Anolis sagrei: one gene and its partner. The protein of the gene in region 2 binds, or shares a complex with, the protein of the main gene of each other region. Links are inferred from orthologs where the notes say so. Each region holds a gene or a part of one and is shown on either strand. Other genes may lie near its edges.

Region 1 (3,922 bases), on a different chromosome or scaffold from region 2:
TTAATTCTATTTAATTTTAAAAGGTTAGAACTTAACATTTATTTATGGAGAGCCAGAGCAGTGTAGGTGGGGGTTGGGTTAGGATTCTGGGAGTTTGAACCCTCACTCAGCCATGGAAGCTCACCAGGTTACACACTTTTTGCTCAGCCTCTGAGAAGGACAATGGCAAACCTCCTCTGAAAAACTTGCCAAAACAAATAACAACAACCCATGATAGGTTCACTTTAGGGTCACCATAAGTTAGAAAGAGTTTGAAGGCACATACCAACAACCATTTATTTATTGTGCAATCTTTGGCACAAAAAATAAGCCCTGTTGTGTTCAACAGAGGAGAACCGCTGGGTGTGCTAGCACATGTTTTCTGGGAGTTACAGTCTAGAAAAGTAACCTTTCCAAACTTTTCCAAGCAAATCTGCCTTTTTGGCAATCATGCACATGAAGAGGAAACTGAGAACCAACTAATCATTAGGAAAATAGGATGGCTTCTATCAGATCTGGCTTCTTAAACAAGATGTGCTTATTTATGAACCGTCACTATTTTACTTTTTAAATGGATGTTAAGCATATTTAATAGAATGCTCAATCTTACAGTAGATCCAGTTGCACTTACACAATAGTTTCAGATAAGAGGATTTTTCTCTTTTACTGTCTTAATAAGCCTATTCTAAGCTATGTAGAAAAGCAGTACTGGACCAGAATGGTGTAGTAGTTTGAGTGCTGAATTCCAACTCTGGAAAACAGGATTCAAATCAATGTATTGTTGAAGGCCTTCACGGCTGGAATCACTGGGGTGTTGTGTGGTTTCTAGCCGACATGTTCCTAGAACATGGTAATACAGCTCAGAAACCAACACAATACCCCAGGGTTCAAACCCCTGCTCAGCTATGACAAACTATTAAGTGGCCTTAGGCAACTTATGTTTTCATTCCCAGAAAACCCCATGGTAAGTTTGCCTTAGGGTCACTGTAAGTCAAAAATGACTTGAAGGCACTCAACAACAACATAGTATACTGACAGTTAAAAACCCATGTGCATGCATTCATACAAATGTGCATCATAGCCAAGAAGTATTAACAAAACAAATATACAGCAGCCCCACGGGATTGAAAGAAACTTGAAAAGTGCCAACAATAGCAACTCTCACAAACAGAACCTCAGAGCTTGGGAAAGTCACTTCCAAAACATAGAATCTTCTTGGTGGCTCAACCAAGTGCACACACTTTCAGAGGGTAATGCACACACTTTCAGAGGGTAATGCACAGAGGTATTCAATACCTCCTTGCACAACACATGTGCTACAGGAGTGCAAAGAAAGCTAGATGGCACCACAGTGTACTCCTGAAGCCCATCAGTGCCTGGTGGGAAGGAATGACTGCATGGCTTTGATCTCCTAGGCCTTCAAAGTTGTATGTCTTCTGGTGAAATAGTATCAAGCCAACCCTGACCGGGACCGCCTTCCACCTGGATGCCCTCACTGTGGGAGAAGGTGCAGATCAAGAATAGGGCTCCACAGTCACCTATAGACCCACTGCCAGGATACTACACTTGGAGGACCATCATCCTCGGACTACGAGGGATCACCTAAGTATGTCCCGGCATTGAATGTTTGCCGTATATATGTTGTGCTCTGCCTTGAGTCCCCTGTGGGGTGAGGAGGGTGGAATATAAATGTTTCAAATAAACATATTGTCGAAAGCTTTCATGGCTGGAATCACTGGGTTTTTGTAGGTTTTTTTGGGCTATATGGCCATGTTCAAGAGGCATTCTCTCCTGACGTTTCGCCTGCATCTATGGCAAGCATCCTCAAAGATTGCCTCTGAGGATGCTTGCCATAGATGCAGGCGAAACGTCAGGAGAGAATGCCTCTTGAACATGTCCATATAGCCCGAAAAAAACCCAACAAAAACCCAGTTTCATATAAATAAATAAAAGGTTCTTGTGGGTTTTTTTCGGGCTATAGGGCCATGTTCTAGAGGCATTTCTCCTGACGTTTCGCCTGCATCTATGGCAAGCATCCTCAGAGGTAAATAAATAAAATAAATAAATAAAAGTTACAGTCCGAGTAGCAGGGAATGCATCCTGACAGTGGTACATCTAAGCAACTTGCTCACATTAATTCATTGTGTTGTTTCCTTTGCTCCCACCCACCATCACTAGGAGCCCCTGGCGGCGCAGTGGATTAAACCCCTGTGCCGGCAGGACTGAAGACCAACAAGTCACAGGTTCGAATCCGGGGAAAGGAGGATGAGCTCCCTCTATCTGCTCCAGCTCCCCATGCAGGGACATGAGAGAAGCCTCCCACAAGGATGATAAAAACATCAAATCACTCGGGCGTCCCCTGGACAACAGCCTTGCAGACGGCCAATTCTCTCACACCAGAAGCGACTTGCAGTTTCTCAAGCCGCTCCTGACACGACAAAGGAAAAACGACAAAAAACCCACCATCACTGCCAGTAACATCAGTATACTAGCCTTGAGTTGCTGCTATGTTGTCAGAAGATTGGTCATATCCATCAAGCATTGTACTAAAGACTCTTAGAGACCGTTTACTAACAGACTGCGAGAGGAGGCTGCCACAAAGTAGATAAAGAATACTAATGTAAAGCAGGCAAAGATTCAAAACTGAACTAGGTTTCCGTTGACACAGCTTACACACCTGCTCTGACTTTCATCAATGTGCAGAAAGTTGGGAGGTTATGAATTCTCCCTCTGCTCCTAGCCAGCAACTCTCTTTGTACGCACACGCACATACACCCCTTGCCATCCTGTGCCACAAACAGCCAGCGCCTCGGGCTGAATGATTTCCATCCAATGACGCAGCCAGTAATTCCATGCTGCCCTGTGTAAAGAAGAACCAAGCAAGGAGAAAAAGAGCAGGGTTTTAGCCACACACCTTGGTCAGCTGCATTCTGGCAGTGCCTCTTGGGCCCCCTTTTGCCTGGGGTGCAGAGCAGCAGTCGGTCCCCCAACAATCAGGCCCTCCTGTCCAGCCCATACGATCCCCTTCTCCGAGTCCCAACTCCTTTCTCCGGCAAAGTTGTGGGCAAATTTTCTCCCCCTTCTCAGAATCTTTGGAACTGCCTTGCTTTGCAAACTCCTCCTCCCTGTCCCACCCCCCCCTTCATCACTCACACACACACACACACATACACACAGAGCGCCTTAATAATATTTAGCTCAGTGCCAGAGCAAACTCAGCCCTGCCAGATGAAGCCGCGTGCGAGCTTATAAAACCAGGCCTGTAAACAGGTGGCAAAAGCCAAGCTCTTGGGATGTAGGTAAATTAGCCGGACTCTATGTGTAAGCGTGCATGTAACATGGGGATGAAGGTCATCACCTTTGGGGGGAAGAACATGGAATGAAGGGAAAGCAGGGCGAGATGACATATTGTTGGAAACGGAAAGGACGCCTTGTCAGAATGCATAGACTCCAAAGAGCGTAACAGGATAATTGGAAACATATTACCACTGGAAAATCCCTCCAGAGCAGCTTGGGAGTAACAAAGAGACATGTGTACCATTCAGCCAGATCTGTATCCTGTTTCCTTCCAGTTTTTGGTGCTCTGGGTCAGCGGATTCGGGGCCCATCTCAAGAGAGGGAGGAGGAAAAGAGCTTGGTTTTTGCTTCCTAAGCAGGAATGTGTATATAGATGTGTGCGCGCGTGATGGGCTGGATAAACATTTATGTTAAATCTTATATACATTGGCTCGGCAACTTCTGGGTTTTCAAAGGTATATGCCTAGACACAGGGCCCTTCCAGATAGGCCCTATATCCCAGGATCTAATTCTACTTTAAACTGGATTATATGAGTCCACACGGCTAGATAATCTGGGATAAAGAGAAAACCTGCGATCAGATCCTGGGATATAGGGCCTGTCTGAAAGGGTCCATACTTATCTGGGAGAAATCCCCTTTGGACAC
Region 2 (3,922 bases):
AAGCCAAGGGAACATAAACTGCTTAAAAACCAATAACTCACTTTGACCGAATACCCATGAACAAGGCACTGGGATAACCCACCACAGCCAGCCAGCCCTCCCTTTACGTCAGTAAGTAATGATGAAATAAAATGATTGATTGCATCTGCAAATAGGAATAAATGGATGGATGTGTCTTGAGAGTTCCCACTAACTCAGTAGAGGAAGCAAATAGATGTCAGGAGAGTTTGGATGGTGCCTTTCTGCCCAGAAGAAGGGGATCAGTCTAGATGTCCCTTGATGGGGTCTGTACTGTGATTTCTGTTCTGCACCAATTTAACACAGTTTGTGCCACATAAACAAAGTTTCTGGAGTAGAACAGCTACTTTCAAAGTAAAGACCACCCAATGAAACAGGAAATAACATTTTCAAACCAGGAACAGATATTCTTTATTATTAAAAATGCTTTTTATAAAACTTTGAAAATTCGCCAAAAATCCATGGATAAGTCAAAGGTTATGAAATTTGGTGAGCTAACAGTGGTCCATGTGTTCTACCATTGTAGCAAGTTTCATCAGGAATAGTCTAAAAACGAGGGATGGAGAATCCAATGAAGTTTCCTCAGTTCCAGTGCTGTTTATTTCTTACTGCGCACATGTGTCTGCCATTAACGAAGCAATTCGGAAGTTTTGGAAGTTTTGGAAAGTTTTGATTTTTTTTTTAAAAAAAACTGGAAGTGACTTTAGAATCGAACCACCAGCGCCCCCTACATCTGAAACAGGTTTTCAACCATTTTTGTTGAAACCAAGCCTACTCACTATCATTTCATCAACTCCATCATCCATCACTGGTTGGAATTCTTGCACACATCTCCTCTGTGACTAGTATGTATGTATGATATACCATCTCTATTATGGTTTCATACAGGGTTGGAATGGAATAATGTTTTGCTCTATGGAAATATCCAAAGAGAATTTGGAATCAAAATATTAAGCTGCAGTAGAGGTAGCGTTAATTCTGTAGTAATTCCCTCCTTCTTTAAAATGACAGCTGATATATGTCATGAAAAAGATTTTCTGAATTTAGCATTAAGAGCATTTTCTCAGAAGTAAGCCCCACAGAGTTCTGGGGTGGCTCTACTTCCTAACCTCCTGTATCGGAATTCTGCCTGAATTCCTTTTGACATTTGACAGTCTATATAGGACTGACACATTTCACAACTTGATATCATGATCTTGCATTGGAGTCACACTTAAGATCACAAAATTATATGGAACCAAACTCAGGTGGCTGTTATAAACAGCCAAGGATGCAATCCTATGCACATTTATCTGTGAACATGAACTTAATAGGACTTCCTTCTGAAGACTTCTGTAGGACTGTAAATTAAAGAGTGATGCCACTTTTTTACCCCAAACTCTCCCTTCTTATTGTTAACGAGGAAAAATGCAAAATACATTCCAACTTTTTGTTTCTATAGCCAATGCAAAGCATACACACTAAAATCTTGCAAGTGTCATTTGCAATAGATATCAACAGTAAGTAAAATATTTCCATTTTTAACAAAATAAAAACATAGAAAAATAAAAACATAGAAAAATTCAGATCTCTTATCCATGCATGTATCCATATTTAAAGACACTGATGGCATGCAATATTTCACTTACTGTGTTTTTTCCCCATTCCGGCTATACGAATGCAATCCTCAGTGCAGAAAGCTTCATTAAAGAGTCCTGGCATTTTGTCTAACAGATTCCAGAAAATGTATGCATAGCTGAAAGCAGCTTATTAGCTTTTTTTAAAAAAAGTTTTAAAACTTGCAGATTTAACTCGTGAAAATGCCAAGTTGTAAATAGTCAAAATTACTCCTCAAAATGCTTTGGCTGTGTACACAAAAAAGAGAGAAGGGAAAGTGGGGGGAAAAGAACCCACCCAGAATTTCTCTCAGCCTCCGCAAGCATAAAGTTCGGATTTCATTGCTGAGATCATTGCTCTATTCTCAGCACTTTTGCTCTATATGTGTGATTCTGACCAAAACACATTCTGCAGCTGGAGGGAGCCTCAACGAAATGGAATTCTACCAAGCTTTCCCTAGTTACTTCTGTCTACTAAATGCAGACTGATGTTTTGTGAGATGGGGCCTCAAAGAACCAGGCCCAGATTGCTTCAAAAGTATTTCCTGCTGTTGAGTAGTAGGCATGTGAAAGTAAGTGTGTGTGTGTGTGTGTGTGTGTGTGTGTGTGAGAGAGAGAGAGAACAGGAATGGCAGAAAATCTGGATACAGTGCATTTGACGAAACTCTGCCTCTGGATATTTATATCTCCAGTCCCCAATTTTATGACTTCTCTATGTTAATACTTTGTTTCTACCGCTTGAGCCCATATAAAACAATAACTTTGAAAGCATTCCAAATATCTCTTTAATTCTCTTGAATAATAAATGAACCACATCTAAGGAAATTAGCTTGAAAGAAGATATTGCCATGCTTTAAAGACGTTTTCCCCCCTACTCTATTGAGCAAAGAATTGCACAGGAGGAGAGGGAAAAAAAGAGGCAAGATGGATAGATAATACAATTGCAGCCTTTGCAAATATAACTCAAAGACGAAGCTTTGCCAGTGAGCTCTTTAGCCAATGAGAATGAAGAGAAAAGAATGCCATTGCATATAAAGGCAGCCACAGTCTACACGTATATAGCGTATTACCTCTATGGAGTATTCTCTAGAGCCTCACAGATCCAAAGTTATAGAAGCGTGCGTATAGACTCCATCTTGATCATATTAGAATTCAGCTGACACAGAACATTTGTAACTACTCTTTTGCAGTCTGACAGGGTGCCGGAATCATATCTCTGGAGCAGCCCACAGGATCTACATCCTCCATGCGATACAGATTTGGTGAAACTATCTGCTGTTTATCTTTCCTGCTTTCTTCTGCCTTCTCTGAATGATTTCCTCTGAGCTGTTCCAGCCTGGGAACTTGGATTGCCATTTGGTTTTGATTAAAACCAGACGGACAGCTCTGTAAAAATTTGAGAGTAAGCTAATGGAAAGCACTAGCGTGGCTTTAATTAGAGTATCAATTAATAATAAATGTTAACTATTCACATAGCAAATGCTACCAGAGCTCCTATGATGATTTCTATGGGATAATAATACTGTGTTGTTGCGGAGTTTTTAAAAATCAGACACTATTTTGTTTTTAACTGTGGCTACAAGAATTAAAAAATGAGACTCTGAGATGCCAAATGCTACAACAGAATTTCATTTGTTTTAAATAAGATAATAGTTCTATTGCTGAGTTTGATCTCAATTGTGAAGGTTTACAAGGAATGTCTTCTGTTGACTTGTTTGTGTTGTACTGAAACTCATTTTATTTGTATACTAGCTTGGGGACCCGGCGTTGCCCGGGTTATTAGAGAAAGTGGGTAATGGTGGTTCTGTATGCCAAGTTTGGTCTTTATTGGTCTTTGGATAACGGCTGCATTATTTTCAGGAAGTGAGTGAAGGTACTTGAAGTCCCATCATCCATGGCCCATCCTCCTACAAACAGCAGCAGAATATAGAGTGGGTCATGGGGGCTCTGTGTGCCAAGTTTGGTCTTTATCAGTCATTAGATGAGGGTGGCAGTGGTGTCAGTAAGTGAGTGAAGGTACTGCAAGTCCCATCATCCAAAGTCCATCCCCTTTCAAACTGCAGTAGGATGTAGAGTGGATCATGGGGGCTCTGTGTGCCAAGTGTGGTCTTGATTGGTCATTAGAAGAGGGTTGCAGCAATCTTTGGAAGGGAGTGGAGGTACTTGAAGTCCCATCATCCATGGTCTGTCCTCCTCCAAACTGCACCAGGATGTTGAGTGGGTCATTGAAGCTCCATGTGCCAAGTTTAGTCTTGATTAGTCATTGGCGAGGGTCTCAGTGGTCTCAGGAAGTGAGTGAAGTGACTGCA

The links.
Region 1: the proteins of DLC1 (region 2) and TNS2 are in contact, whole or in part, in an NMR structure (PDB 2LOZ), measured with the Homo sapiens proteins. The link is inferred for Anolis sagrei from reciprocal best matches to the Homo sapiens genes DLC1 and TNS2. Residues at the interface, in NP_001335010.1 of Homo sapiens: Glu811, Asp812, His813, Lys814, Pro815, Gly816, Thr817, Phe818, Pro819, Ala821, Leu822, Thr823, Asn824; in NP_736610.2 of Homo sapiens: Asp1268, Leu1269, Leu1270, Arg1271, Gln1272, Gly1273, Ala1274, Ala1275, Cys1276, Lys1317, Ser1319, Ala1320, Gln1321, Thr1324, Leu1387, Asp1388, Pro1389, Asp1390, Gln1391, Val1403, Leu1404, Leu1405, Gly1406.

What each region holds. Positions count from the first base shown.
Region 1 is NC_090022.1:183,699,838-183,703,759, reverse strand, and holds the start of TNS2 (tensin-2), read right to left. Parts: upstream 3,049-3,922; 5' UTR 2,996-3,048; coding exon 2,894-2,995; intron 1-2,893. UniProt on the Homo sapiens protein: Tyrosine-protein phosphatase which regulates cell motility, proliferation and muscle-response to insulin. Phosphatase activity is mediated by binding to phosphatidylinositol-3,4,5-triphosphate (PtdIns(3,4,5)P3) via the SH2 domain.
Region 2 is NC_090025.1:72,529,900-72,533,821, reverse strand, and holds the start of DLC1 (rho GTPase-activating protein 7), read right to left. Parts: upstream 2,938-3,922; 5' UTR 2,684-2,937; intron 2,174-2,683; exon of another isoform or gene 1,647-2,173; intron 1-1,646. UniProt on the Homo sapiens protein: Functions as a GTPase-activating protein for the small GTPases RHOA, RHOB, RHOC and CDC42, terminating their downstream signaling.